2 linked regions of the Drosophila melanogaster genome follow. The protein of the gene in region 1 purifies or fractionates together with the protein of each later gene. This does not show direct contact. Each region holds a gene or a part of one and is shown on either strand. Other genes may lie near its edges. The genes, in order: cta and CG14854.

Region 1 (17,035 bases):
CCGAGAAGCTTTGGGCAAAGCTAGAAGATGGCAGAGTGAGAGCTTTGCGAGAAGCGAGCTATCCTTTAGTTATTAATGTGATCGTGGTGGATTCGGACGAGGATTTTTTGCATCAAGCGCAACTATTAGCTATCTGTTAAAAAAAACTGGCTTCCACCTCCCTTCAATAGAAATGAAAAAGGCAAATTTAATACTTTATATAATGACTTATATTTACAGAAAGTTTCTTTAACTATTAGGGGGTGTCTATTTCGACTTTTAATCATATTTTCAATAAAATTATAAGTCGTTTGACGAAGAATTGTCCAAATTTTGTTAAAGACCCTATACTGCCTTGCCAAAAATTAATAATAACATGTTTAATTATAATTATTATATAATATAACTACTACAATATAACTACTATTATATAACTACTATTATATATATATTATATTATAATTAATAACATAATTAACAACAAGCACTAAATGGAACAAAACAAAACAAAAAAACGTGTTTTAAAAATAAACGGCAATTAAAGCACAGAATACAACAAAACAGTCGTACGCTCTGAGCGAGTTGAAGCGATAAAGCAGGTTGCAAACTGCTCTCTCGCTTTATGGCTTGAGCTCGCAACTCGCTTCGCTCTCGCTCTGACATCTTTCGAGCGAGTGCACTTAAAAATGTATGCAGTGGTTTATCGCTCCTTCTCTCCCAAATATTATCGCTTCGCAGACTGCTGTCAGCCTAAACGCTATTCTGTTAAAATAAATACTTTTTGCTTTACGGAGCTTTAAATGAAAAAGATCTTGTTATTCTAATGTCTTTGGTATTAGCTCAAAAAACTGGGTTCGGAAAAATCGAATTTTTGAAATTTTAAAGCTGGAATCGTTTGTGCATTTTTGCCCACCAATTAGTTTTTTCACACGTCCAGTTCACAAGAGTAAATGGGTATACTAAATTCAGAAGGCAGAAGGAAGTAATTGCGACCGTATACTTTATACTTTATATATATTCTTGATCAGGATCAATAGCCGAGTCGATCTGAGCCATGTCCGTCTGTTCGTATTAAGGTCGATATCTCAGGAACTATAAAAGGTAGAAAATTAAGATTTTATTGCAGATTCCAGAGACAGACGCAGCACAAGTTTGTTGCCCCGCCCACTCTAAAGCCCACAAAACTGGCACGCCTACACATTTGAAAAATGTGTTGCTACTTTTTAGTCTTGTAAATTTCTATCAATTTGCCAAAACTTTTGCCACGCCCATTCTAACTCCCTAATACTGCCCAAAACGTCCACGCCCGAAACTTTGTTTTAATATATGTCGGTGCATAATTTTGTAAGCTGGTGGATGTGCTAGAATATTTCACAAGAATAATAATTCCATCAGTTCGGGGAAATCATTGATATTTGCTATTGGTCGGCTGTATTTTTGTAGCTTTGGCATCTCCCGTTACAGCGCGGCGGCAGCGTGTGGTCGCTGTCGCCGAGTGTGGTTCGAAGGGTAGCACGGAGAAGAAGTGAGTGACACAAATTAATTGTGTGTAGACCTTCGATGCGTTCGAAACTCGCTGCGCGACATATACAATACATATTTAGGCAAACACATCGAACAAATATATGGAACAAAATCAAAACAATATAAAGCTAATATAATATAATTAATATTAATATTATTAGTTATTTAATTTTAAACAATTCAACAAATGTTTCAGTCTTATTTCTTAAATAGTTTCGAATATATAGATTAAAACAACATAATAGGAAGAAATGTTCACTGAAATAGCAGTGCTATGAAAAAATACTAATAAAATTCAACATTATTTAGAACTAACTTAGTTTTCCTTTTTAATGTGTGAATTAGGGTCTAATGTCTTTGTTTGCCAGCACAGCCTTACACCTACGCGGCATGGAGTCCACCAGGTCCTGGCAACGTTTGGGGGTAATTTTTGCCTACATTTTATTTTGGGTAAACCGATCTGTTTACGTGTTTCGGATCGTTATCCAGTTGGAATGTCCATTTTAAGGAAATATTGAATTCAGTATATGACAGTAGGACATCACTAAATATATTTACATATGCGTTTTGGTCTATAATACCATAAATCAAATGTTTTGGACTCATAACATTGTAAAAAGAAAACAAACCCATACCAGGATTTTACGTCCACCATGATTGAAAGTCTTGAGTGGGTGTTTTGGGTGGTACTCCGTGAGTGGAGGTCGTCGGACATACTATGGTAAACCAGTTCCACCAAATAGCACTATTTTTGACTCATCAGTCCAGTTTGACTGGCCAGTTTAGGTAGGTTTTAGAGAAGTTTAACCGTGCCTAAATATGCCTTGGGCTATGTAGGGGCGCCATTCGTGGACTCCTCGCACTTAAATTTTGATTTAGTAGTCGTCTCCAAATTATACCATCTCTGATTTCCCAGTTCAGCTCAGTCTTTACGTCCCTAGAGGATGCAAAAGGATTGACTTTGCTGTAAGTAACAATGCGTCGATCCTCTATATCTGTGGTTGTACATATGGAACCACGGTTCGGGCTTCAATTCATATTTAATGGAATTGGAATCAAAGATTTTTCGAATTTATTTATGTTTCCCTTCCTTTCTTAGCTTACTAATTAAAATTCTATTCTCTTGGGAGCAGTGCTGTCCTCTACACACTAAAATAGAATTGTTTTTATATATTTTCTTTAATTTATTGCCCTTTTAAATATTCAAATTAACGTAACCAAAATCTCTGTTTAGAATATATGCTTAAATTCTTGACTTTACGTAGGTCAAAAACTGAAACTGCTATTCCAATAATGAACAAAGTTGTAAATTTTGCTCAAGAATGTAAAGAAAATAAGTAAAACATGAAAAACAAACGGGATTTTCTTTTTTTTTCTATCTACACATTCCATTTTACAAAAATAAGTGGAATAAAAAGTCGATTCCGGAAAAGGACATGGGAAAATACCTGTGTATTTATTAGTTTCTCTTGCGCTGCTATTTCATTGAACACAGGTGTATATGGAAAAGTATCCTTTGAGTGAGTTGCTGCTGGAACTAAAGTGCCCATTTTGTATGTATGTACATTTTCGTACTCTGCGAAAGTAAGAGTAAGCAGAAAAGCAAACGACGAAAGGTATAGAAGCATATTTCCATACATAGGTACATATTTCCATCTTTGTATTTAATTATTATATTTTTATGTTGTTATTATTATTAATTATTCACAATACAGTTATGCATATATTGTCTTGCAGATGATCGCCTACATTTTTTTTATGGTTTGGCAAACGTTTTTTAATGCTGATATTTAATTTATGAGTTTGGCAAACGTATTCTCTGAGTATACCGATATTGCCTTTATATGTATTTTCTAAAGTACAGCTTTTTTCAAAATTCTAAATGGTGGGCAAACGATGTTATTGTGATTGTGAAAAAGTCAACTTTTTGATTTTCGAACATTTTTAAACCTTATCGAAATTTCAAATTCGAAAACTGGACGTGGGCAAAAAAAATTGGTGGGCAAACGATTTCAGCATTAAAATTTCACAAATTTGATTTTTCCGAAGCCAGCTTCTGTTTAGGCAAGCTGTAGGTTTTGGCTAGATTTAAACAAAGCGATTAATACATACTTCTTATATCATTGGAGAGGGTTTTTTGATTTGTTTAAACGCAGGTTACATTTTCTACCATAATTATTTGATATAAAGTATATACACTGCGCGTCATCAGATTAGCGCCCCTGCATGGCTCCGTTTCTTTTTATGTTCTGTATTTAGCCATTGCACGAAAATATATCAATGTTATTGTTTTTTGTTTACTGATACTCCCTCTCTCTTTGAGTATAAAAAAGAGGTCCTGAGAAGAACCGTTATCTTTCTAATTCTGCTTTGTTTTACTTTTGAATAACTTCCATAATTTGAAAGGTAGGTCAACAAAGAGACAATGTTGTATGCTGTTAAGTTGAAAAATTTGCTCTAATTTAGCGAAAAAATAAGAAGAGGGACGCTGTTATCCTTGCAGGAAAAATTCGAAATCATAGCTTTCTTTGAATGCGGGCTGCCTTTTCATAAAATTGCAGAAAAAACCGACAGACATCTCAAAACTGTAGACAATTTTATTAAAAACGAGCAAACTTATGGAAAGAACTATAAAAGCGGCAATAACCTTGTCTTTAACGCGGCAGATCGCATGTCCATGTCGAATACATTGCAATTCCCACGAGTCCTCCGCCAAAATTCGAAAAAAAAGTGGTGAAAAGCAGTTGAAATCGTTAATTCAAAGGGTGATTAAGAAAGCTTATCATTTAAAACACGAAAAACTGCAAAAAAAAAAAACAACTCTTAATAAGTTGCGAAAAAAGCACGCCTGAGTTTTGCTCGAGCTCACATGACCTGGTCTAAGGAGTGGCATTATGTCGAATTTTCGGACGAGATGAAATTTAATTTGGAGGAACCAGACGGCAATTGTCATTACTATCATGATTTGCGTAAAGAGGAGCACATTTTGGATCTTATTCACAGTCGGGTTGAAGGTGTCATGGTATGGGGCGCAGTATCCTATTATGTCCCCTGTGATTGGAAGTTTTTAACACCAAAAATAAACACGAAAGATTATAAGTGTGTATTAAAAACTGCATTTCCCTACTTTAAGAACGTTTTTGGAAATCTAGAATGGCATTTTCAGCACGACAATGTCCACACGTTCGGTAAAAACATGGATTCGAAGCGATAATGTAAAAGTTATGGAATGGCCACTATACTCCCAGGACCTTAATACAATAGAAAACGTGTGGGGATGGTTGGCTGGGAAGGTATACGAGGGTGGTAAGCAATATGTCACTCAAGAGAAATCGATCACCGGAAAAAAGTTCGGTTGGTCTACGATTACTTTGGATTACCTAGAAAAAATATATGATTCACTTCCCAGACGAATGTGTGAAGTCCTTGAAAACAAAGGAGAAGCAACTAATTATTAGTTTTCTTTAAAAATATTAGATTTTAAACATTTAAGTGATAATCATCTAACTTTTTTCGAAATTAATAAAAAAAAACCTAAATTGTCATAGGGGCGCTATCCTGATGTTTTTTTTCTGGTGTTTTTGTTTTTCTTTTTTATTTCAACAAAAATCTATAAACAACAAACTGCATCCCATATAAACTTTTCATTTATGAAATTTTACAACTTTTAAGGGAAAAAATTTCAAAAACTTTCGCTTAAGCAGTTTTCTAAATGTCTCACATCAAAGATTTTTACTCAAGGTGCGCTAACCTGGTGAGGCGCAGTGTACATATGTATATTATTCATCAATATGAACAAGCGAATCGAAATATTCATGCTTGTCCGACCGTTTCTAATCAAACTAGCCTCTTGTCCAAACCTCTTCTTTCCATTGCACGAAATATAAGAGATGGAGCAAGATTTATATTGTTAATTTGTTTTATGAATGGATTAACAAAATATATGTGCAAAAGTTTGTGTTATGCTCATAACCGAATTATCGGTCTAAAACCTTGTTCGTTTCCGAGAAAAATCGACTAACACGTCAAAGTAGAAAATTAGACCTGGTTGGGGCCGGTGAAGAAATTCCATGAAATATCTTCAATTGTTTTTTCAAAAACAAGACATTTAAAAACATTCCCTGACTCACCCAAAGTAAACTCCTTACCCTTTCTGTGAACAAGAAACTATTACCCTTGAACAAGTCATTGAAAAAAACTCTGCATGCTTATAAAAAACAAAATGTTGTTCTTGAATGGAGATTTATTTTAAAAAATGCCTATAACAATTAAGTCCGTTTTGCAAAAGTATTTGATAGACTGTGCCTGGCAAAAATTTTGTAATGTGGACCATTATAATGTTTTTTAAATGATGATGCAGCGCGGGCCGGGCTTTATTTCAAGGCCCGCGGGCCTTTGCCAAAAAAATTGGGTTCGGGCCTCAAATTCGTCTTTCGTGCCCTAAGAAAAAAGCCCGCAGGCAGAACCGAAAGTTAAACTTGTTTGTCACAATCTAACAGGCGAGAACATCCTCAATAACGTTAAGGAAATTATGGAAGAATACAGTTTGGATTCTAATATCGATAAATCTATTTTGTTTGTGATCGGAGAAAGTATTAAAGATGTGCGCCAGTGAAATGCTCGATTCTGAAACCATAATTCAGCTGAAAAATAATACGTTAAATTCTTTACATAAAAGATGTGCACCATAAACGGCACATTATGTTGGACTCTTCTTAAATTCTCCCGTTAAGGAAATGTGTTGCTTATCGCCAAAAGTTAAGGAGAATGTAATTGTAACTGTCAAAGCAATGCTTTCAGAAATGCAAAGTGATGAGGAGTTTTATAGGATTAAGAACTGCAAGCCCAGATAAAAAGGGGTTAGGACTGTTTGCAGAATTTCAGGATTAAAAATTTTTCAAAAAAACTTAGTTACAACTAAATTCTTATGATATTGAAATAGAAAAATATTTAAATGGCTGTGCAGCTACTTCAGACCAAAATGTGTTAGAATTTTGGAAATGTAGTGAACTCAAGTTATTGAATTGCCATTCCGGCAAGCTCAGCGAATAGCAAAAGATTATTTTCTACCTCTGGAATTGTATTAAATGAGCGATGTACACGTTTAAAATGTTCTAATTTAAAAAAAAAAATATTTTTAAATAAAAACTTGTCATAAATTATGTTTAAAACACCAAAACTGTACTAAATATTAAGTTTTTTGCAATCAACTTTGTTTACAAAATATAAGAAATATAAATATAAGAAAACCGACATACTTTAAATTAAAAAAAATTGCATTGTTTTTATTTTTTAATTTGTTCGTGTTTAGCTTGGGCAGGGCCCCGGGCTTTTTTTGGGACTAGGTTTCGTGCTCGAGACGGGACGGGCCTCAAGAAGTAGGAAGTCTTCCATTACCTAAGTAGCGTGTATCTTATACTTGCGGAGCTCACAACTATAGGATTTCTCTTGTTTTTATATTTTTCGGTTACAAATATATAGCGCTTGTTGTATGTATGTATGTATGTATGTACATATATACTACTCGACCGACTTGCCTAGTCCTGTTAATTAAGAACACATACGTATAATTCTAGAATTGTTAGCAAAAAAACGTAACTTTTTAAATTAAATATATGCTTATAACATTGTACAGAAATTACATTTTAAACACATTATAATTTTTCCGCCATTGTACATAGACTTTAATTTGTCGAATATCTCCTTTACTTCGTTGTTAACATTTAAATAAAATAACCAACAGCAAGGGTTAGAAATCGATATCCCTAAATCACCTTACCTGACGTCGAAAGGTGTGTTTTTCTTTTTCCAGGAACTTATCAATCTCTTTGGACTTGTAGCGCTGCTCCAGTTCCTCAGGGGTACTACGCAGCCTTACTAGATATGTGATAATATTTCCGCAACATCGAAAGCAAGCAAAGCGCGAGGTCTGAAGCCGACTGCCCTGAAGTCGCAGTCGCTCTGCTCCATTCGATATTAGGCCGTCTGTAGACGTGGTCGCTGCTTCTGGTCCAGTTACCGCTCCCACCCGCGTGCGATGCTCTTCCATAAGATGAGTCAGAGTACCACTAAGCGTGTCACTATCTATGTTGTTTTCGACGCCGTTCGTGATGACATTGTTGTTTGGAATGGAAATTCGTTCTTGAGTTAATTTGGTCAATGTAATGCCAGACATCGCTGGCAAGCCAACGCCTGATGCTCGCACTTTCTATATACACACACGAACACCAATACGTCAAACACTCCCCACACTAACAGCAGATGCTCATCGTCTTGCTTTCGCTTTAATTTATAAACAAACACTTTTTGAATTCTGCATATTCTAATTGTAGGCCTCATATTAGATTAAAAGGCGATGTTGCCATCTGAAAGCCATAACCATTATTTCTACATGGCATCAGACTTAAACGCAACACAAATTCCGGAATAAAGTTCACACCAATAAGACACTGAACGTGATCGTTATTAGGTTATGACACTCTCAGCCATTACATTTACGTTTCTTTAGGAATATAATTGTAATTATATATGGAGCAAACAACAGCGGTGATAATAATTTTTGCCTGTATATAAAACATAAACATTCGTGTCAACTTTGTTATACCATGTTCCCACAGATCAGTTTTTCGGTGAAATTGGTTCCATATGTGAACCAATTTGACAATATTATAAGCAACAGGTCCAGCTCTTTAGTGTAAAGAATTATTAAAAACAAATTATTATATCGGGTTTACCAGGAATGTAATTTATAATTTAATTTTAAATTTTAAAGCATATAAGATAAAAAGAAAATGAGAAGAAAATATTATTCTTTAATTGGGAACAAAACAAATCAGTTACAATAACATTAATAAAAAAATTGGTTGTAGAATATTTCTTTAAAATTAAAACTTTATTTTAATGAAGTGACTTTTGGAGAGGGCACGTTCCCTTATAGGATGACCTGTATGGGATGAAAATTAAAAAAAAAAAAACATTTTTAACTTTTGCTATGGATACAGTAGCATTGATTGGTTTAATTCGCATTCTGTTTTATTTCGATATTAGGTTGATCCAATACACTAAAGCTAGGTAAGATTCAAAAAATATTTTTATATCTTAATCTTAATATCATGGCCATTAGCTTACATAGAGAAATAAATAAATAAATATTTATTCCGTTTTGCGTGCTCGCCACCTGTGTTTAAGATTTTTGGAATTCGTTTAGATTCTTTGTAAGGCTGTCAACTAATTAAAGCTAAGCTTAATATTGTTTAAGAGAGCTGGGCAGAAGGCTTTATTTCGGAAGCGGTGATCAGACTTGATGACAGCGTACTGTACTTTGCATCCGTCTTATAGCCCGGGGTGCAGCATGGCCGCCCTGGACGGCGGAACTACCAGGGTTCGAATAAACAATGTCACATCGAATTCAAACATTTTACACAATGTAATTCCGCAAGGTTCGCCAATTTCTGCGGTTTTATTTATGATTGCAATTGAAGAAATAAATAACATTGTAACTCGGCAAAAATATATTTACATCTCACTTTACAAAAATAAAAAATATTCATACAGTCAGCACAAAATTTTTAGAAATATTGCACGAAAATACCTCTCTGCCATTGAAAAATGCCAACTATTATAATTTGACGGAAAAAACGTTGTAATCTCTCCGCACAATAAATGATGTAAACTTTTTAAAAAATTTGGGGATGACCTTCGACTGCAAACTACTTTTCAAACAGCACTGTCAGATTCAAAGAAAACAACTGGAAACTAGATTTCACATTATTAAATTTCTATCATCTAAATATTCGTACATATAACTAAGACTCTCATAGATATTACGATTACGCACGCATTAATGCTATTTAAAATTGACTACCGTCTTCCAATCTGCGGCAGGCTAAGTGTTGGCGACAATACAAGGACAAAAGCAGGCTAAGTGTTGGCGACAAAAACAAGGGCAAAGGCAATGCTGTTGAGATTGGAGTGTGAAATTTGCTTATCAAATGGGCAGAGTTTATATTATGGGTTGGATAACTTGGCGGAATTCCGCGTAGAAGAAACTACATTGATGCTAATCTCGAAGCTGTACACCACGTCCAACTGCCTGCTAACCCATGACTTCGGAGCCATTTTCAAGCAAAAGCTGAATTTTTAATGCATATCCACTCTAACACGTTGCGCTGACTACATCAAGCAACTTGACCTCACCCTGCCTATGCACATTGGGGTTTCAAACAGCCTTCAGATCTACAAAGCTGAAAAAAAAGAAAGAAAAAGAAAAACTGAATTAATACCAATGGTTCTAAAGTCAACGACTCAACCACTTTTGTGGTCACCTTACTCTGGGTTCCCAATCATCAAGGAATCCACGGACTCGCTGACAACTGACAAACTCGCTGACAAAGCCGCCCAAGAGATGAGACTTACACCATCAGCCCTTTTGACTCTGCTTAGCTGCAAGGATATCCAAAGCTATACCTCAAAGAAAAGAGAACTCTCCGAATGGGCACTCTTAATGCACAGTTACCAGATTATTAAGCCAAATTGGATCATGTTCAAGCCACTACCGAACGTACAAGTTATTGCCCTACAGTTTGAGCAAAGACACTAGAATAACAAGATGCGTAACGGCCATACATTGGTTTGGCACTATGCAGCCACTTTTTTGGTGACGGCCAAAATTGCTCTCTTTCCGCTCGCTCACGCTGAGAACGTAAGAAATCTAAAAATAGAATTTGCTTGCTTGTGTGAGTAAAAACAAGAGACGGGAACGCGTATATGTGTGCGTGTTGTGCTAGAAGACGATTTTCGGGCCGAAATCAATTCTGATCGAAGAAATGAATTTACATTGTACATATTAGGGTAGTTTTTTTTTTTTGCCAATTTCGTAGCAATATGATAAAATAAAATAATTTTTAAAAATTTGCGCCCTGACAATTATAATTTTAAAGCTTTTTAAATTTGTTTGTTAAAATCGCCGCTCGAATTAGCTACCGTTTACACATTTATATTTATGTTTAATTCTAATTTGTCTCTCATCTGACAATTTTTTATAAGCGAAAACAGTGATGAAGTGCTCGCCACAAAATCTTCTGTAAATTGGCATTTTTCCGCCCATCTTATTAGCATTGTTGGATCCCTTTCAGGAAATCTAAACAATTTAAGAGCGGGGAAATCGCGCCTAGATTTCCGATAGTGGGATAAGCTGCACTTGTTCCCACTTATGTATCTTCTTTTTTTCTTGGCCATATCCATAAGATTATTCAAATGGGCCATTAAAATGTTTTTTTCTTTCACTTACAATTTATAAATTTCAACTCAAAACTTTGTCGAAAAGCAGCAGCACGTTATTTTAGCGCGTCAAATTACGAAAATACGTAAACACTATTCACTATTTATCACAATTACTATTTGCGCTTATATTTTTTTTCGTACTTTACTTTTGCAACAAAACGACTTTAGTTCAATATAAATTCGATTATATAGCGAAAATATCAAAAAATTGAGGAGCTCTGCGTATAGCCAACTTTAAGCAAACGGGCTAAGAGAAATTAAAAGGAAAAACAAAAAAAATTGGCGCGCTTTTCTTCCCACCCGAAATGGCGCGCTTTTTAAAATTATTGAATTGGAATATAACAAAAAAAAAAAACATACTGAAAAACAACTGAATCTAATGTGCATTTTAAATAATAAAAATGGATCATTAACATACATAAATCATATTAAGTCAAATGACTTATTAAATATACTAAATAATTAAAGGAAGTAAAATATAAATTATTATAACTACTGTAATTAAAGATTAAAAATTTTACAAAAAGAAGACATTACATTGAGAAATAAATAATTCATAAAAATAATACAAAGTAGAAAATAAAAATTTGTAAAATAAATAAAAATATGAAAACTTTTTATTGCAAAAGACACTAGAATTATTCTTTTGAGAGGGGAGGATGGTCGAGTTTCCGAGACATTATCGTTAAAAAAATCGGTCTCCCCTAATAGTGAAGCAATAGAAGCCTTCAAGAAATTAAAGTGCAGTTTGGTTTCTGCAGACGTAATACTCCACTACCCAGACTTTAAAAAAGAATTTCACCTAACAACGGACGCTTCCAATTTCGGAGTAGGCGCTGTTCTTTCACAAGAGAACAGACCAATCTCATTTTTATTGAGAGACGGAAGAAAATTATTCCACAAATGAGAAAGAAATGTTATCCATTATGTGGGCTCTAAAAAAGCACAACATTTACTTTTACGGTAAAGCAAAGGTGAAAATCTTTACTGACCATCAGCCTCTGACCCATTCTCTGAGTAGTTCGAATGGGAATGCGAGGACTTAAAGATGGAAAGCATAACTTGAGGAATATGACTATGAGATTTTCTATTAACCGGGCAGAGAAAATATTGTAGCCGACGCTCTGTCCAGAGGGCCGACAGTCGAACAGATAAACACAGTAGCCTCATCAATGCACCTCTCCGATAGTTCGAGCCATGGGCTGATACGTTGAAGCCCCGATAAGTGCAATCAAATTTTCTTCAGGAAGTCCGAGTCAGAGAATTACTCATTCAACATTCCATTCCCTACATAAATTGTTCACACCGGTTAGTCTCTTGTCAGATTTGAAGGAATATCTCAACCCATTCGTGATTAATATCCTCCGAGTTGTGGATATAATGGGGAAAATACAAATTCTCTACCCTATCCATTTTCAGGGTTTCAAGATTAGATTCTCTCAAACTAAAGTTAAAGACCTTGTTAACGAAGCCGAACAGGAGGAAGACATACTTAGGACACACAATAGAGCACACAGAAATGCTGTGGAAATTAAAGCTCAGTTCTCCGAAAGAATATACTTTCCTAAAATGTGGAAAAAAGGTACGGCTATCGTGAGTCAGGGTTTGGTGTGTAAGACCGCGAATATGACAGACATCTCACACATTCAGAAATAAAAGAAACTCCCTTGCCAGAATACCCCGGACAAATCCATATCCATCTACTCGACAGAACGACATCTGGTGCTCACGGCAATTGATAAATTTTCAAAACTGGCTATGGGAAATTACATTAAAAGCTGTAGAAGACATTAGGAGAGCCTTAAGAGATATCGGGTTTTATTATGGAGTGAATTCATGTTGACAGGCCAGCTGGGCCTGGAACATCTCGATAGAGCCATCTAAGAGCCACTGTTCACTCTGTCACAAAAAAACGAACCCTAGAGGTGTTCTTCGGTAGGATAGCTACCGTGGCTCCGGAAAAGTACGAACAAGCTAGACTGGACAATATAGACCGAATAGGGTTAATACAATGTTAGGTACTAAGCTATCAAGTAGATTTAGGAAGGAACTAGTTAAGACTTCAAGCAAGGAAGTACTTCAATATTAACAGAATCAGGAAAATTAGTACTTAAGCAAAAACATTTATTGCCCTACAAGCGATTCTCTCACATCTTGTGTTTCTTCATTGATTCTGGGTAAACAAAAGTGCCCAAAATGCTGAGCAGAAGTCTGCACAGTCTCCGCTGCGGTTAACGAACGGTTAAAGTGCCACATCAACACTTCTCCGCTGCGCCGCTTCCGGCGCCTCCACTTGATTGCTAGGGGACTTAGGGAAATATTTTGTATGTTAGTTTTAGTTTCAAATTATTAGGGAAATATTTTGTATGTTAGTTTTAATTTCAAATGATCAATTACAATAACGGGTCGCTTGCAATCTACAAAATTAAAGCAAGCTGTAATTATTAACTTACATAAACGGGAATGCGCGACCTTCATCCGCCTACACTATACACACATAAACACATACTGACGAAAACGGCGCGACGAACATGCCATCTAAGCGGGGATGAGCTCACCGTTGACCATATTATATTCTCGACGCCTGCAATCGATTGCACTCAATTAGATCGCTATTATTTGGTACACAAAGTATTTCGAAAAGTTTAAGTACCACTGTTGTGAAAATATCCCAAAAATTAACCAAAACCCTGTAGCTATCTAGTACTCATTAAATTTAATATATTTAGTATTGCATACTTAAATTTGTTAAATAAATAAATACATAAAATAGCTATACGCGTTAGAGTAGGCGTGACAATAACTTGTTTGGCACATCGGTAGAATTGGCAAAACATATAATATGAAGGGAAATTTAAAAACATGATTTTAAAAAAGTGGGCGTGGCAGCTTAGTACGGTTTGTGTGCGTTCGAGTGGGCCAGCTTTCCTAGGTATGTGCTAGTCAAAAAGTGCTATCAGTGCTATATTCTATAAGGAACGTTACGGGATCAACGTTCTTACGAATGATAACGTATGTCTGCTCTCAGACTGTTTTGTTAAAGAGTAAAAACCCTACTGCTACTATTATGTCATTGCGGGTTTTCGGTGGTCTCGATTGACTTTTGCCTTGAGCATCTTTTCTTCGACTTGTGGATTGACCTCCAATATGCGAGACATTAGTTCTTTTTTTGTGGTTAACTAGATTAGTATTTTAGGACTCTTTGTTTGAGATCGCAAATTACGCATTTAAAGTTTTTGTGAGGCAAATTTTACTACTGTCCGCGGCCCGTCTTGCGATCAATTTCCACTGCTTTCGACAGAAATTGTGTCTTGCACCACACTCACTGCACTGTAGTCGTTTTTCACTTTTTTCGAGCAATTACATATGTAACTTAACGAACAAAATGTTTGTTAAGAAAAAAATTAGAACACAAAATGGGTCTGCTTCTGATTAGAAATGGGTTGAAACTGATTTTACAAATTTAAGTTTTTCCCTAAGAAAGCTGTGTGAGGTAGCAGACAATCGGGCAATGCAGTCGCAGCGGCAGCGGCGATGCCTTCGGTAGTAGGGCCCGGCTTTTGGTGCATTGGAGGGTTTTGCATTGGTTGCAATATTTTCCTGGAATTCAGAATGCTAAGAATATAGGTAGTAAGCATTGTGAAAATGGTGCGAGCGTGGCGGAAGTGAAGCAGACGCCTGATCAGCGGGTTTGTGCTGTTAGCACAATTGTTGGTAAGCGTTGGAAACGCTGAGAGCGTCGGTAGCGAGCGTTGCTGAAATGGGGCGAGCGTGGCGGAAGCCAAACAGACGCTTGATCAGCAGATTTGTCTTGTTACCAAAATGTTGTAAATGAACGTTGGGAATTTCGGGCGAGCGTGGGGGAAATTAAAGAGACGCTCGCTCGGCAGATTTGTTGTTGTATGGTTTTTGTTAGTTAGTTTTGTTTTGTATAGAATTTATTCTTAACTTTTCCCCCTTTAATTTGCGATTGTCCTCGAGCGCTTTTTAGAAGAATGGTATGTCGTTAATATTGAGTGAGGATTTCGTTCCTGGTTTTTGGAGGTTGTTTATTGGCGTGGGAGGTGCCATTTGTAAGAATTTTTTTTGTTGTTTCTTCTTGTAAAGGTATAACACACAGATTATTAGAAGGCCAATGCAGATAATAGTTACGGCGTCGACACCATGTGCTGTAATGCGAAGCTTGTCTGTCTTTTCGGTGTTATCGATGTGCAGGACCTGTAGAGTCTGTAGAGATACTATTTTTAGTCGCTTGCTTTCTTCTGGGGTAATGTTTTTATAATTGTATTTTCTATGTTGTTGAATGTTTTGTTGTCAATTGATATTGATTCGTTCCAAAAGTTGATAAGGTACGCACCCACCAGGTTTTTTTTGATTTATTTTGCTGGAAAATCAGGGTCCCGTTTAAGTTGTTGAGCATCACGAGGCCGCTCTTCTATTTGCTTGGCTTGGTCGGCATTGCTAAACTCACACAGCAATTGCTTCCCTTTAAGGAGCCTAGGCAAACATGTTCTATTTCTAAGGTTTACAATATTATTCTTATCGCATATCTTAATATTATTATAATCTTTGCAAATTTTTATAATTCTGTACATATTTTCTTTACTTTCAAGGATTTCTTCCAATTCTGTATTGACAATTACGTTATTTTTAATGATTGGTTTAATTAAATAGTTCTGGCATTCCGTTTCTTCAAGGTTTGGAATTTTGACAACGTAAAGAAGTGTTGTTTTATTGTGTAATATTGATACGTCAGAGAATTCTAGCATTTCTTCTATTGATAGGAAGATAGGGCATGTTTCCGTCTTTAAATATTTTGTCTATTTCATGTATCTCTTTTTCTCCGAGTAAAAACGTATTTATTAGATTTAATTTAGCCCATTGTATGGCGTATTTGATGTTGATGACTTTTTCTTTAATCAATCTAATTTGGTTCTGAAGGCTAATGGCAATCTCACTACTAAACCTAACATCTTTTTTTATAACGTTTGTAATGCCGTTAGTTGTTGTCGTAAGGTTGTTTATCCTTTCTTCTAATTGGGTCTTTATAATTACTTATTTATTGTTATTTGATATTATTTTGTTTACATGCTCTTCAAGTTGACTAAAGTCGTCATGGTCAGGGCTACCTGTAACATATTTCCATGCTGTTCCTATCATATTTATAGCCCTGGTACTTCGTTTGTTAAAAATAGAAGTTATGGTAAGGAAAGTTAATTATGTTTGGTCTATCTCATGGTGTAGGGTGTGATAATGGCTGCTGAATTTTAAATCTTGTTCTGTATGAAATTTGAGTTTGTCTAGAGTTGTTTCTTTTTGATTTAAATCAATGACATGGATGATTCTCGTTGTTGACGTTCGTATTTTGCCTATACCCTTGTAAATGGTTATCGTTTGTGCGTTGGTATAGTTAGTGATCCGTTTGTGCCAGTTACAATCCATATTAGTAGTAGTCTAGAATTAGATATTTTTGATATTACTTTTATGTAGTTTTCTACCTGCTGTTGTTATTATAGTTGTTTCGTGGTTTTCTTTAACAGTTTCCTTTTTATACCTAGGCGACAATTTGGATCCTAGTCTAGTATTGATTTTGACGAATATTTCGTCAGCTGTATGTTTATAGAGTTTTTCTATTTTTGTTATAATATTCCAAACCGGTTTTTTGCTTTTCTTTGAGTCGGTCAATGTTATCTAGTCGATTTTTTTCGTTGTTCTGGATCAGTCGTGATTGTTTTTCTGAAGAACATTTGAACTAGTGGTCGTTGATTTGTAACAGAGTGGAATGTGTAATTGTATTCATAAATTGCTCTTTCTAAAAGTTCGTCAAAAGTTCTGTGAATTTTATCTTTTTTAATGACATGCATTATCTCTGACAGTGTGGGATCGAATCTTTCGATTTGACCATTCACTGTGCTTTTATAAGAAAGGACAGTGAAAATTTCCATTTTGAGTTGATCTGTGAGCATGAATTTTATTGAGTTTAGGGATTTTTCGTTGTCCATGAAAATAAGTTCTGTTCTTTACAGGTTGTGCATTGTTTCACTAAATCCTATATTTTTGTTTTATTTTTGGAAACTAAAATGTTTCGGACAGTTGAGTTTTATTCTCTGAGGCATTGCGATGGGCTCTGTTATGTGTCTCTTCTTCTTGCTTTTCTTCGCCTTTTAAGACTTGTACTATTTTTTGTGAAAATCTTATTTTGAAGTTATTGAAGTGTGTAGGGTAGATAGATTCGAGTTTTCCCATTATA
Region 2 (15,509 bases), on another chromosome or scaffold:
GAGTTTCAGCGACCGGCAGTTGCGTCCACATGAGAGTATAATTACGTGGCAAGTTCAGGCGCCACGTGGCCCGACAGGTTTATTATTATACAATCGATAACGAAGTCGAGAGCAAAGCAAAGTCGCAAGCTTTTAATTGGTAATTCGCATTGGCAAACAATTCGGGTTTGACCCACAACCAGTAAGATGTAAAAACAATACAGTCAGCTTTTTTGCACCACAAACGCGAGAACAAAAGTATCAACCAAAAATAAAAGTGTTGAGGTCTAAAAATAGAGCATATAAACGGTAGAAAAAAAAACTAAAAGGCAAGGACCGAACAATACAAGAAAAAACAATGGCAAAAACACACAAAAAGCAGTAACAGGATATGCGAGAGCACAGAGAAAAGTGCGGGGAAAGAAAGCGAAACGAAATCGCAAGATATGTGCGACAGTCAAATTTATGCGTTAGTGGGGACAGCGACACAACCTTAGACAATAATTTTCGCCATGGGAGCGGACAGAAAGCGAACTTGGCTAACACACACACACACACACAACCTTTATCGCCGCCGCACTCGTGTGTTATTTCCGGCAAAAAGCCACAGTGGCCAAGGAAGAATTGGTAGAAGGAAACCGTGTAAACGTGGCCAAAACTTTGCGAAAAATATCGGCGAGTGGCGGCTGAATCGGGACTCAAAATGGCTAAGACGGATAAGCGCCGCACAAAACGGCTAACGGTGAAGTTTTCCCCCCTCGTTTCGTTCTACAGGGAATGTTGTTTTTTCTTCGCCAATGTGGTTTCTTTCCTCAAATGGCAGCTAAAAGTCCGACGACAGCTGTAGAAAAATCGCATGCCCCGTCTTTCCGAAAAAGTAAGTAAACCGATTGGGGGCGTGCCCGTGTCATCCGTCTTCGATAGTGTCTTTTGCAAAGAATCGCAGCTGGAGGAAAAGTTTTACAACTATCCTTTGGGCCAGCTATTAATAGATCGAACTCCATCTTCCCTTTTTGTTTCCACATTTCGTTTACGTAGTTTGTAAGCGATTTTAAACGGCAACGCTGCGTATACGTAACGTGACTTACCAGTTTATGTTTTGTGCTAGTTTTTCAGGCTTCTTGCTGCAAAGATATTGGGAAAAGTAATTAGTTTTCAACAAATTTTGTGCAACTTCTTAGTTTTTAAGTTGTCTTACATCAATGTTGGAAATATAAATAACTATGTATCATTATTAAATTTAAGTCTTAAGAATTTAGTTAACTTTGTTGCTACCATAAAAACGAAATCTAACGTATCTTAATCTTGAACTAACTCGATTTCTTGTGAAATGTTTATTACTATCATATATAACTCACAGTTTCCAATGTAATAAATTATCTAATTCAAATAAGCCCATAAATATATAGCATATTGAAGCAAGTACAAGAGTCAGCTTAATTGGGCAAAGCATAAATTGTCCAAAGTAGACGCCAAATGTAATTAAGTAGACTTGGATTTATAACTAATTGTGTTCTAATTTTGAAAGCAACAAATCGAATTAGTGACTGTTTAAGCTTAGATGGCGTGTCCTTCGCGCTTCCTTTTTTGCGCCTCCACCAAAAGCCTTTCTTCTCTGTTTCAATCAATAAGCAAAAATGATTTTCTCGAAGGCGTTTAAATAAATGAATTGCTGATTAAATGAAGTTGGAGAAGAAAGGAAAGGACAAGCCTTGACAGATGAGTAAAAAGAAGTCCCAGAGCGATAACAAACAATAGGATGAAACGCAAAGGATTCCAGAGAATTTCGGGAACAAAATAAACTTGTAAAAATGGAGGAAGGATGAACGGATAGATAGAGTCCTGTATACTAAGACAAGGCTGGAGAACAGCCGCAGATGCCGACGCGACCAGCGAAATGTGCTCGGAGACACCGTTTTATGGCCAATGATGAAGGACGAAGGACACGGACGCCCGAGAATGGCGGAATAATAACAAAAACAAATATCCGCACAAAAGCCAATGAACGTCAGTCAACGGCAGACGCTATAAACATGGCCGAGAGCGAGTTTTGGGCCATGGGGCTTCCGTCGAAAATGCTCCAGTTTTCCCGCAAAGTAAGAGGCACGTGCCCGGCCCTAAAGAAGCAAAAGAGAAGAAGATGGGCAAACAAGTGCCGGGGAAAATTGCATGCGAAGGGTAATCGCCGAGAACGGGGACTATTTATAAGCGGTCCCCACGAAAATCGGGACTACATATACTATAAATCCGCGCGGCCCCAACCTTATACGCATTTTACAAGAAAAAAAGACAAACAGAATACAGGGGCAATCCCACGAGATTAAGAGCAGGACACTAAAGTCAGGTGCGGTGCGGCACTTTGGAACCTTTTAGCCGGCTCCTCTATTTACTTTACATCCTTCTCGGGCATTTAGCTCATACAGATCTTCATTAGAGGTAGTCGAAAAACAATTGCTGAGTTAATGGATCTCAGACATAAGGTTTATGCTTTAACTCGAGTTATTTTGTTTAAATTAATACACCTATACTTTTAAAAGCATATTTGTGATATGTAATCACACAAAATACATTTGAACTTTACAAATAGTTTCTTTATAAACTAGCAATGGTACTTCATAAAGATAATACTCACATATAGCTGTGCCAGACCAATAATTAACCTAATTGGAGTTGTTGAAAGTTGTGAAAAGCCCAGTTTATGACCCTTAAAGCTCCTGTTCACTTTGAAATAACTTGTCACGCTCGCTGGTGTGACAACAAAGAGACAGCAGCAGACGGATAAAGCCGGATAATACAAGGACGAAAGTGAGTCAATAAATTTTGACAACATTTTTGTAAAAAAATCCACCAAGGGGAATCTGCGGGAGAGTGGCCAAAAAGAAGAGGGTATTAAAATAAAATAAAAGACTTGCTCAGTTCAGTTGCTCTTCGGAAAAGTGCGTGTGGGTCCAGGAGATGTTGGCGAGCGAACCGTTGACAAAGTCAATGTTGTTCATAAAAAACGAAAACAAAACTTAATGGATTTCACAGACACTTTGGCGGGTCTCCAAAAGGGCGGCCGAGAAGAAAATTGCGCGCGCTAAGGAAAGTGGCAAAATGCGTTGGAGCAGCACTCGAATAATTTGCGTTAGGTATCGCACGTCACAGGAAAGTTTTTTGGGCCACGCACAGTCCTAGTTGCTACTTTTCTGATTCCCCATGGAACGACCCAAAAAAAGAGTCTAAATTATATTTTTAAGTGTCCCGACTTTGGGATATCCGTTTGAGAATATCAAAAAGTGGCCCAAAAACGCTTATTCTAAGCATACATTTGGAATAATTAACAAAACTTCATTTTTCTTGCAAACTCATTACCATATTTCATAAGATAGGAATCTTAATACCTAAAATGAATATCTAAATATAACATTTGCAATAATATTTGTTACATTCTGCGATTCAATGCAAAAAATTGCTGTAAATATTTCTAGCTCAGGCTGAGGTAATTGTAGAAAATGTGCTAATCTGAAATAGTCTTAATTGTTTTCTACAAAATCTCATTGTAAATTATGGCATAGTAAATGTCCAACATGTGGGCAAATGCATTCATTCTTGAGGTCTGCGGATATTGTCTCAAATTTGAACGAAAGATTCTTTTGGGTTGGCAACAAACTAATGAATATACTATTGAGATATATAGTATATTGTTCGTATGATCTAGTTTTCCAAATTTCTAACAAAATATAAGAGAAAAAGAAATAGGTTATACATTCTTGGCCTCATAAAGTGCTGAATGATAAAAGAATATGTGGTAGTAAAATTCAACAGCACATGTTTATCAAATTTTCAGCTTCTAATTCTAATCTCAGCTTCGTTTCGGCTCGTTTTGACTCCAGAGCTTCTGAAATTGGACATACCCTTAGCATCCACCGCATGATGGGGTATTAAAAACTTGCTAAAAAGTAACGCTCGCTGGTCCCCACGCCGCTAATTCTAATACGTATGACATTCAAGGGTAAAATATTTCATAATTCGCACATTTCTGGGGGATTTGGGGAACGCTAATAATTGCGTGCGAGTGTGTGGGTGGATGAGGGCTCCCATATATTTAGCTGGTGGCGGTGGTATTTGCGGTGGTATTTGTGCTGGGGTCTGTGTTTGGCTTCGGTTGGTTTTTGTTTGTTTACTCAGCACTCAGCTGAGCCGGAGGCCCTCGAACACACACAATCGTACGGCTAATACTCACCTAAGCACACACACTCTCACGCACTCAAATGCATTTTCTTTTCACTTTGGTTTCCCATATACTTTGTGCTGTTTCTTTCTATTTTATTTTTATTATTATTTTTTTTTTTTTTGTAGTACGTTTTTCTGTGTTTTTTGTCGCGCTTCGTTTGCTGATAACACGGCTCGACTGGCGCTTCGTTGATAAACGGGGGGGTGGGCTGCGATTCAGACTGGAAATTGCACGGCAAAGTAAATAGCAAATAGTATATTTACGCGCCGCTATACATTTTTAGTTTCGCCCTTCGAATTACGTTTTGGATTATGCAAAAAGCGGGTTGAGTCGAACTGAACTGATTTCGATTTTATCCTGTGACTGTTTTACAACCGGCGGCAATTCCGTTTGCCGCGAAACGCGCACGCACTTCACTACTGAAAAGCAGCTGCTGCTCCCAGCTGCTGGGGGCGTGGCAGAGGGCGCGCGGGGCGGTGGGTGGGCGGGCGTGTCGAGAAACGGCCTTGCCCGCACGAGCTACGCAGCACGAGTACAACTTTAGCACTGAGCAGATAATTCTGTGCGGCACGGGACCGGACCGTCACTGTCGCCAAACACAAATAACAATCTATCTCGGGGAGAATCTCTCTCTAACTCTCTACTAAGGTGCTCTCACCGCCTGCCCAGCAATCTCTCTGGCTCGGTCTTTCTCTATGCTTCTCCGAAATTTTTGTGGGTGTGCAGCGTTTTGGAGCTTTTGTTCCTGCTCCGGTGCTCCGATTTCGCTGCTCCAGTTCGCCTTGGCGCCCCGTTAACAACTGAAAACCGAATTTATACCGCCAGCAGCAGCAGCTGGGCTTTGTTTACTGTTATTTGGCACAAGCCTCTCGCTCTCTTTCTGTCGGAAAGAGAGTTTTCTCTGTCAGCATTGAGTACAGTGGCTTAATATCCAATGTTGGCGTTTTTTTAAGTTTTCGGTAGTAAAGTACTAAGTACTAAGTGCTAGTTAGTTACTATACAGTATTTTGTATTGAATACGTGTAAAATATTTAGTTGTCAATAAATTTTATTTTTGTTTGCAATCTGTCTGCGGTTTGATCCATATAGCTTTAAAAAGTTTGTAATAGGTGGAGAACAATTTTAATTGAATAACTTGATTTTTGTATTTTTGCCGTAATATGCCCACTGTGCAGCGTGGGATCGGCGCAGGCGCCGGACTTGGCCTGGTCTAGTCTTTTGGCCGTCAGTTGTTGAACTAAAAGCCGCATAGTTGTTGCTGTCAGAGCTTCCTAACTCAATCTGGGGAAGCCGTGACATTGAGTAGCCAAGGGGAAATGTTAGTAGACATTGGAAGTAAGCATAATTTTAGGCGCTGTTTGTTTGACTTGTAGTCAAATATGAGTAATACTTAGTTTACAAGTTCTCCGATGATATAAATCAGATGGTTTTACTTTTTTAAAAAGAGTGCACTTTCTCTGTAAAGCTCATTAATTTATAATAAACATTATCAACCCCATCTACAGCAAGCCAACAAGTCGTATACGCAACGTACAAATTGCATTACTCGTTTATTTGTATAATTTAGTTTTTAAATACTTAAAACATAAAAATACGTGAAAATTTATAAGAGTTGAGATATTTAAAACGGATAATTGAATGTTAAAGAAAATTAATCTCAATTGCACTTACTTATGCACTTATTTTACAATTGTGCGTTTAATTGTCTTTTAAATGTCGAGATGAATGAACAAACCGCCGGATGACATTGCACCCCACTCAATAAAATTCACTTAATTTGGAGCTAGCCGGCTCCGCTGTTGTGGTCTCCGCTTGACCAACTCCCTGCTCCTGCTGCGGATCAGTCTCCCCCTCAGCATCTGCATCCGGATTGTCTTCCGCTTCCGTTTCCGGCTCGTCCTCCGCCACTCGCGTCCCATCGTCACACACGTTGATGGGCTTGCGCTCCAGCAGGGGGCGTGGCAGGCGGCTCAGAAAGGCCGAGCAGTAGGTGCGGATGTTCTCGCACTCACCGGGATTCCGCTTGACCACAAACGCACACGTCTGGATGATGTCATGCAGCGTATTGTCCATGTACTGGAACACCAAGTGCTGCTCCTCCGCCTCGCCATGCGTAACCACTTTCCCATACAAACTGCCGGCGGTGGAAATGAAAAGCCAATTAGTGGAACACCAAACACGCGCTAAAGTTCATCTCACCCAACTGGTTTTCCGGGAATATTCATTTCCACCTCCTCATATTTGCCAAGTACATAGTCGAATCGCTCTTTCGCATCGCTTTCCTCCATCTGTGGAACAGAAAATAAAGTGTGTTTAATCAGGAGGACTAGCAACTATAGATTGTGTTAGTTCAAGTTAAATTGTGTTTTTAAATAGACCAGTATCATACTCACATCTTCAATGCAGTGATTGGGCGGAATGCAAATCGTAAACTAAAAATGCATTAAAAAATTATAGGGTGCAAAAACAATTTACACAAAGTACTTACCACATTGGGTAATGAAATAATTCCCAGGCACAGCAGCAGAGAGCTAAACAAATCCATGGCTCAACCGTTCGCTGATCAGCTAAAAGCGAAACTAACTGAAAAATCAGAGCTGGTCAGCGCATCTACGTTAAATTGCGAAATATGAATTTAAAATATTCACGCTCATTGTTCTCGCTTCGCTTGGATGTAAGATGTGACGTCATGATAATTATAAAATAAAACAAAACAACCAAACAATTGGGAAGTCATAAAGTAAATCTTACACGCGAATCTAAAATTTAAACATATTTTGTACTCAAATAAAATTTTGATACCCGCAAATAAGGGAAATTAACCCAGTGCGAGCTTAAAGTGCAAAATACTGCTATTAACTTTCTGCCTGGTAGTTTTCTGCATTAATATCTGCCTTTATTTTGTGCCTGGCAAATGGAAAGCTGCATAAACTAGCATTCAATTATGTATTATAAAAAGAAAACCTTTGGATTTATGCCATAAAAGCCATGAATCTAAAACAGGGGATTATTGTACCTAAACAAATAGCATATTAACTATTTATGGACTTGCATCCGCCGCACTTAACAATCCCAAATGATTGAGATATTTAATGGACTCTGAAGATGGGACATCCCTGTGATGTACCTTTAATAACTTTAATAACTACGCCGATCAGGGTAAGTTCTGAGTGAAGAATTCGGAGAAATAAGCCAAAAGTCGATAGGAACAGCTGAATAAATTTGGCAATTATTTGTATAAGATAAACGTATTGAACAAGTATATATTTCCAACAAAAGTCCCCACCAGCAGATGACAATTGGTTAGCTATCATCTTCTTGTACAATTATATAGATACAATAGATATCAAAAAAAAACAATCATTTGATAGCACCAGTTGGGTAAATTTGCATATATTCTTTGGTTTTATAAGTCACCTGGAATCATCACAGCGGTATATAAGACCGTGCTACCATCCGAAGACACCATCAATCTGAAAATGAGGGCCACATCGATCATCTTATCAGGAGTTCTTGTCCTGGTCGCTTGCCTATTGAGGAGTAGCGAGGCGGTGACCTGCACCGCCGACCCCAATGTCACTGGATGCATCGACTGCACCACCAGTCCAAGCGATCCGGAGTGCGTGGCTGAGGCCGCTAATACCACTACGAAACCCGCAGATGGAACAGATACCACGACACCCACCACAGGAGGAAGCACCGATGCGACCCCGGCGGGATCTACAACGCCTACTTCGCCAAGCGGCACTGTCACTCCAGCTCCGACCAGCTCACCTAGTGACTCCACGTCGCCCAGCGACTCCACACCCACTTCAAACAACGCGGCTGCTGTGGCCAGAAGGAGGAGGAGGATGGCGGCCAGGAGGCGCGCTCAAAGGAGGAGGCGTGCACAAAGGAGGAGGGACCAGAGGAGGAGGAGGGCCCAAAGGCGCAGGAGGCAAAACCAATCGGGCTAAAGCCAACATTCGATTTTATAAAATTTAAAAAAAAATACTAAATAAAACCTATATTCAGCATCCAACAACAAAAATAGTTTGAACAAATTTTTAAGAGTTCGCTGTGTAGAAATAAGTATATTGTCTTCAAACAAAGGAGAAAAAATATTATTACAAAAATTAAAAATATCTCTTCTAATTGGTACTTTAACGACAACGTGAAGTATATCTCTTTGAAAAAATTTTTATTGGGTAGTTAATAGTTTCACCTCAGAAATACATAATAATTAAAACTTTATTTTGATAAAATCATTTGTTTTATGTATAAAGAAAATCTATTTCACAAATAAGTTCAAGTCTATTTCTATTCTAAAATAATTTTGAAACCATTTAAACTAATTGTATTGTACAACAAACAAACACAACCTTCAACCGAAAAGCAAAAAACTATCCACAGATGGCATTGATCATCTTGTGGGTACACATTCAATAGCAAATAGTGTACAAGGCAAATATTAAAGAAGAAGTCATCCATTTCTAATAACATACATACACTTAGGAAAAAATTCACCATTTTTGACAAATTTTAAGTCATGTATATTTCGAACTGATGAGAGTTTTATCATATATGAATACAAGTCAAACCAGGCTTCAATCAGATAAATTAAAATATACTCATTTTCTATTCTTGAGTAAATAGGTGAAACTAGTTCATTTCTCAACTTGGATTCACAGCCGATAGTTTACGATTTGGCAGCAAACAATGTCTAATATTTTATATGATCGTATAGAAACAGCTGCGTACATATTAGCGAAAATCGCTAGATAGGAAGAGCGCCCCTTGACCTCGATCAAGCCACTATAAAAGCCTAACCAAAATCCGACATCACCATCAATCAACAATCCCCAATCAACAAATCCACTATGAGAGCAGCAACTATCATCTTCGCCATTCTCGTCCTGGCAGCCTGCCTATTGAGGAGCAGCGAGGCGGTGACCTGCACCGCCGACCCCACCGTCACTGGATGCATCAACTGCACCACCAATCCAACCGATTCCGAGTGCGTGGCTGAGGCAGCCGCCGCCACATCCACCACAACCACAGTGGCTCCAGCAACGAGCACCGTTGCGACCACCACCACTGCGCCAACGACATCAAGCGGAACCGGAACCGGAAGCCGAAAGATCGTCCGCGTTAGCAACCTGCGCTACTCCGTCAACCGTCGCATTCGGATCAACACCACCGCTCGATCCACCAGCTCCAACGGCCGCTCTGGCAGGCGCTCCACCAACACCAACAGGAACCGCAGGCGCAGGAATAACAACGCCAGGCAAGGCAACTCCAGGAGCAGTCGCGGAAACGTTCGCGTAGTAGTTGGTTAAAAATGGTTAGAATGTTTACAATTGTAAAACTGTTTATCAAATAAATATATTTGAAAATTAAATCAAACGTTTGTCTATTATTGTAAAACTGAGAAACCCAATCGAGTGATTAGATTTTATTAAAATAAAATTACAATTGAAATGGTTGTTTTCCTATTTGAATAAAGATATATACATATGTAGATATTTCATGATGATATAAATAAAAAATTATATTTTTATAAGAACCAATGATAAACTGATCTTTTAATTTAATAATATCTCTTATTTCAAATTTACAAGTCGACGTCTGATCTACTAAAATAATGGGTAATTCAAGTTGAGTCAAAAAGCGTCATCCAAAAAGTATGCTATATGTCTTGCCTTGAACAGTTCTACGATTAAGCACTACTAAAAGATCAACACAAAATCACAAAAATTAAATACCAACTCAAGAAAACCTTCTAGGAAGGGCAGTTTGGAATAAAAAGGGATCTTTCAGAAATAGCGCAGAATTTTATTTAACAATCAAAGCTGTAATCTATTTGAAAATGAACAACACTTGACCTTTTTCCAGGGAAACGTTCACTGACCACCATTTGCGGTGGGGGACTTCAAAGTGGTACCACCAGCCACGCATTCCGAGTTCAAGGGATTCGCGATTCAAACGACTTTGGAGCTGAATCCCTCGGCTAAGCCTTCCACGTTGTTGGTGGAGAAGGTCATGCATCATGGTGCAGTCGATGCATCCCACGACGGTGGGACCGCTAAGATGCTTTCCAGCAGGCAAGCTGCCAGGATCAAGACTCCAGAATAGAAGATCAAAGCTACTCTTGCAATGTAGTTGATTTAAGTGTTAGCATCGACATTATATATGTATATATATAATATATATATATATATCATATAGCATATCAATTAAATCGAATTATTGACACAGCTGTTTCGACTTTTTGCATTGTTTTCTCCTGTTGTTTGATGAGAATTTAGAAAAATATGGTCTTACATTTTTTTTTTTGGCTATAAAGCTTTGTTATTAGAAGAGAGCATTATCTACTTCTCCAACAGGTAAATACATTTAAACCCAATGTTACCGTTTTTCTTAACTTTCATAACACTGTTTCTACAAAATAATACCTATCTTGACCTTCTATTTGTAAGACAACAGAGTTATATAATAGTTAAATTACCAATTTTTAAAAAGTTTTTATAGTTTTTTTTTAATGTTTTTAAATTTTTGGTTTCCCCTGCTCAATAAAGTTCAAAGTTCTGTATGTGTGATGTGTTATTTCATTGGGTTAAGGTGAAGAAATCGTCAATAACTCCTTAATATTATAACGTACCCAAATGTACCGTCTATAATTTTAAATGCTCTATATGCACTGGAAATTTCTCTGTAACATAACGCATTTTAAAATTGGTAAGATTTTGTTAGAAGCTAAATCCCTGTTATACCCAGCCAAAAATTGAATACTTCCCAGAAAATTGGATATAAAATAAAATTTACTTCTTCAAATCCATATCTTGTTGAGCATTTTATTGAATTCCGCGTACTTAGCCGACAACAATAACGTTTCCATTGGCCCGCCTCACGTTGACACGTCTGGAGTTGTTCCTGCGCCTCCGATTCCGGACGGTGGTGCTCCCCGATCCATTCCGGTTGACGCGGATGCGCCGAACGTTGGTGTAGCGCAGATTGGTGATGCGCACGATCTTTCGCCGTCCGGAGGAAGTGTTTGTGCTGGAGGCCGCAGTGGTGGTCGCCGTCGCTGATGTTGTGGTGGCGGTGGTGGTGGGCGTTGCTACAGTTGTACTGGTTGTATCGGCGGCTGCCTCGGCCACGCACTCGGAATCGGTTGGATTGGTGGTGCAGTCAATGCATCCTGTGACAGTGGCATCGGCGGTGCAGGTCACCGCCTCGCTGCTCCTCAAAAGACAAGCGGTGAGCACGGAAACAACGGCTAGAATAGTAGTGGCCTTCATCTTAGACTTTCAGATTTTGGATTGCAGATGGTTGGCGGCAGTGGCTTTTATAGGCAGTTAATTCCACGCGACTTTTGTACTCAAAGATTATTGGCAAATTTACGCAGCTGGTTCCTATACATTTTGCATTATTTTCCCATATTGTTTGCGAAAAATTCGCACAAACGATGGGCTGGAGCAATACACTCTTATACTTCGTACAGATGTATTAATGATACATGTATTAATGATACATACAACATAACTGCGTATAACGATTTTGGCTTTACAAATCTGAATGAAATAAGTTCAAATACCGAATTTAATAAATGCAATTATTTTTAGGAATACAAATTTTTTTAACTATTACGGATTTCCAGAGTATATTGGGAATCACGAAATAATTTAAAAGAACATGGTGGACTATACTAAATTTTCTCGACTAACAGATACTCGTTACTCAGCTAAAAGAAGAACAGTGGTACAGCGCCACCTATGGGGCAGAAAAATTGATTGATAACGACTCTTTAAAAGGAGAATAAATCTTTATTTATTAATTTCTTTTTATTTTAAAAATAGTCATGAATTTACGCAGTTATAATGAATTAACAACAACAACTACAAATTGTCCTTTGGCAATTTGGTTAGAAACTCTTTTCTGCTTAGCCATCATTTTGACAGTTTGGAATGCGGTCCTAATCCATAGGAAATGGCAAGAAAAATAATAATCAAAAATTTCATGACCGTTTTGCCAAATATTGAGTATTGAGAATTAATTAATAGAAGCCTATTTTAAAAAGCGCCTAAAATCCAGCTGTGAAAACAGCGCCATTCTACTAACTAACTTCTTAGTTGTGTACCGATCAGCTTTCGATCAACGCGATATTGTACTAGATCTTGATGTTGTCCGATATGAAATACGCGATGCCGCCTGTATTTGGCTAACCAATGTCTTAATAGGAACGAAAGAACGAATTTATTAAATAAAAGCTTTTTGTCTAATTCGCGTGGTATTTGGGCAGCTGTCGGAATTCGGTAATACGAAAAACTTCTTTTCAATCGATTTGTTGTCACAGCTGTCGACCATCCTTACAATGGTACCAAAGACTGTACAAGAGGTATAAAAGCATAGCAATCATCTCGAGATCATCATCCAAGCCCATCCATTCAAGGCAATACCAGCTATGAGGACGACCACTCTACTTTTGAGCCTTGGCCTTCTGGTCCTGTGCTTTTCCAGCTACAGTTTTGCCGAAGACGATCCCACCGATGGAAGCACAACGCCTACTGATGGAAGCACCACGCCCACTGATGGAAGCACCACGCCCACTGATGGAAGCACGACGCCCACTGATGGAAGCAACACGCCCACTGATGGAAGCACGACGCCCACTGATGGAAGCACCACGCCCACTGATGGAAGCACCACGCCCACTGATGGAAGCACCACGCCCACTGATGGAAGCACCTCCCCATCGACCTCTCCTTCAACAGGCGATAACACTAGTCCTTCAACAGGATCGCCAGATAGCACCCCCGATTCCGGAAGCGGCAGCAGCAACAACAGCGGCAACAACAAGCGGAACAACCGTCGGAGGCGCCGCCAGCGGGCTCAACGCGCTCGACGTCGCCGGGCTCAGCAGGCTCGGCGCAGGAGGAACCGTCGCAATAACAGGAATAACAGGCTAAGCAGAACCAATAGCATTTAATTTTGTGCCTACAAAATAAATGTATAAATAAATTGCATATCCTAAAGAAAGTTCGCAAGTATCGCCAAAAGATCGGTTAAGACGTCTTGGGTTTGGTTTTTGCCTTCTAGCTAGTTATTCACACAGACGTGATAACATTTTGTTTTAAATATAAAGAAAAACTGGTTACTGCACAATCCGCACAAATTAATTATCACAGTTCATGATATAAGCACAATCATTTCTGGGAGTCACCGGAGTAGGCAAGCTTCGAAAAATTATTGTCCCATTTCTCAAGCACCAGAGATTGCACCTTTATTGTATTGCAAATTGTATGGTTAAACACAGCAATGACGCCCTACCAGGTCTTCTCGAGCACATCTTCATCCTTGCACTGGACCTTCACATTGGTGGCCTCCCCCTGCTCATGCAGCCATGGCCTGTCCCAGATCTTTACGTTGCACTCCTTGGTCTCGGCTCCGTTGGACAGCTTCACCTCGAATTTGTAGAGCGACCCAGCCACCAGTTGGCTAGATGCCGAGATCACATTCACTACCCTGAAACGAGCATGAACACTATTTTAAAATCTCTCATTCTTTTGTTATTTCTAATCAAAAATAAATCACGTCATGCTTTAATTATATTGATAAGATTACACTTGTTCTGTTGCCGTTTATCATCGAAATTTTTCCAAAATTAATTACCTTATACTTACTGATAATTGGGACCATCTCCTGTGGCAAGTTTGGCGAGCGTTGTGTCCAAGAGCTCCTTAGCCTTGGATAAGTCATCTCCATCCAGCGGCTTCGGGGCACCGGGCGGCAACCTCGGCTTTTGTTTTGACAAGTCAGGCAAATATCAAATAATAACAATATCAGCTCGAACTCACGTTAGCAAAGGCAACCGCCAGGGTCACAGACAGAACAAAGATCACTTTCACGGACTGCATTTCCCTCGAAACACTTGTTCCAAACTGAGCAAACACGGCGCATAGAAGACCGCTTTTATAGAGGAAACCGAGATCATCGGATTGCTCGCCGAGAATATATTGTATGTATATTTATTTATTCGCGATCAACGCCAACCGGCCCCCAAAGAAGGAGAGGCGCCAAGTAGTGTGCACTCAAACCTGAAACCGCTTGTTTTGAATCTTTTTTTTTACTTAATCTTCAGTTTATTGGTTAATATTTTACTTTGGTTTTGCACAGGCCTGTCGTTTTGTGATATCATTTTAATTGTTTGCCCAGGTCAGGAGCATTAACATTGTATGGACTAATCATTCTGTGTGAGTACACCTTTATTTGAGTCAGTCGTTAGCAAATGTTTAAAGTTTTCATTTCTACTTTTCGAGAGATAATGATTATTCAATGAAGGTTGATAAGAATGAATATATGACTTTAGGGGGTGGAGTTTACTGACGCTTTTAGTTTAGTTACCAGTTGCCAGTTGTGTTTCTGATAAATTACTAATGTCTATTGTTTTCGAAAGGTCTTCTGATTATTTAAAAAAAACAAGCTTATTATCAGCAAGAAAGGGGGAATTATTATTTGTAACATCCACTGACACCGCTGATGACGCCCACGCTGACTAATTAAACACACACAATAGTTGAGAGAAAAGATAATACGATTCACCTATTGAGATATATATATTGAGATATAAACAAACTGGTTATGCCAACAGAACTGGTTAACCAACATCGGAACAGTTTTATAACCTACTTCACCGGCTTGTACCTGAAACCCAAGAGAACCTTTTCCATCGGATCATGTTTTAATGTAACCAAATGTACACAAATCCTCCCAGATAGTAAAGGTAAGGCTCTCTTCTGTACGCTACCTGAGGTCGCAAGAATATGGTTCCCCCCTAAGGGTATCTATAATTAAGTCCAGTATATAACATATGTATAACATTTAAGATAAGAGTTAAACTGTATGTAGGTCTAAGGTAAAACCTTCTACCAGGTGTGGTCCAGTTCGTCCTCACCCGGGAACTTGATCTTGATGTTGGTGCCGTTCTCCTTTAGCCATGCGCGACTCCAGATCTGCACAGTGCCCTGTTTTATCTCGGATCCATTGTCCAGCTGCACCTCGTAGGTGTTGAGTCTTCCAGCTACGACCTGACCCGTCACAGAGGTTACATTAAGTGCCCTTCAATTGGAGTAAAATCAATTAATAAGTGGCAAGCTCTAGACCGAGTTTAGCCTTAACTCACTTGTAGCTGGGTCCATCTCCGTTGGCCAACTGTGCGAGGGTGGCATCGAGGAGTTCCAGAGCCTCCTTCCTCTCATTCCCCTCCAGCTGACTGATCCCGCCTACAATTGGAACGTTGGACATGGCGGCGATAGTAGCAAAACTCAACAAAACC

The links.
Region 2: the proteins of cta (region 1) and CG14854 purify together in Drosophila melanogaster (affinity purification with mass spectrometry, with the first as the bait; one large-scale study listed by BioGRID). This does not show direct contact.

What each region holds. Positions count from the first base shown.
Region 1 is NT_033779.5:22,972,841-22,989,875, reverse strand, and holds the start of cta (concertina), read right to left. Parts: upstream 8,061-17,035; 5' UTR 7,679-8,060; coding exon 7,283-7,678; intron 1-7,282. UniProt on the Drosophila melanogaster protein: May play a role in a signal transduction pathway used during gastrulation. Required specifically for the ventral furrow and posterior midgut invaginations, where it is necessary for coordinating cell shape changes.
Region 2 is NT_033777.3:14,553,308-14,568,816, forward strand, and holds CG14854 (uncharacterized protein), read right to left. Parts: upstream 6,748-15,509; 5' UTR 6,741-6,747; coding exon 6,684-6,740; intron 6,628-6,683; coding exon 6,589-6,627; intron 6,484-6,588; coding exon 6,395-6,483; intron 6,330-6,394; coding exon 5,954-6,329; 3' UTR 5,859-5,953; downstream 1-5,858. Other genes in the region: Jig, read left to right, coding at 7,675-8,151; CG14851 (uncharacterized protein), read left to right, coding at 9,055-9,513; CG8087 (uncharacterized protein), read right to left, coding at 11,047-11,475; CG14852 (uncharacterized protein), read left to right, coding at 12,639-13,163; CG31313 (uncharacterized protein), read right to left, coding at 13,501-13,699, 13,858-13,973, 14,032-14,091; CG8066 (uncharacterized protein), read right to left, coding at 15,100-15,292, 15,357-15,478.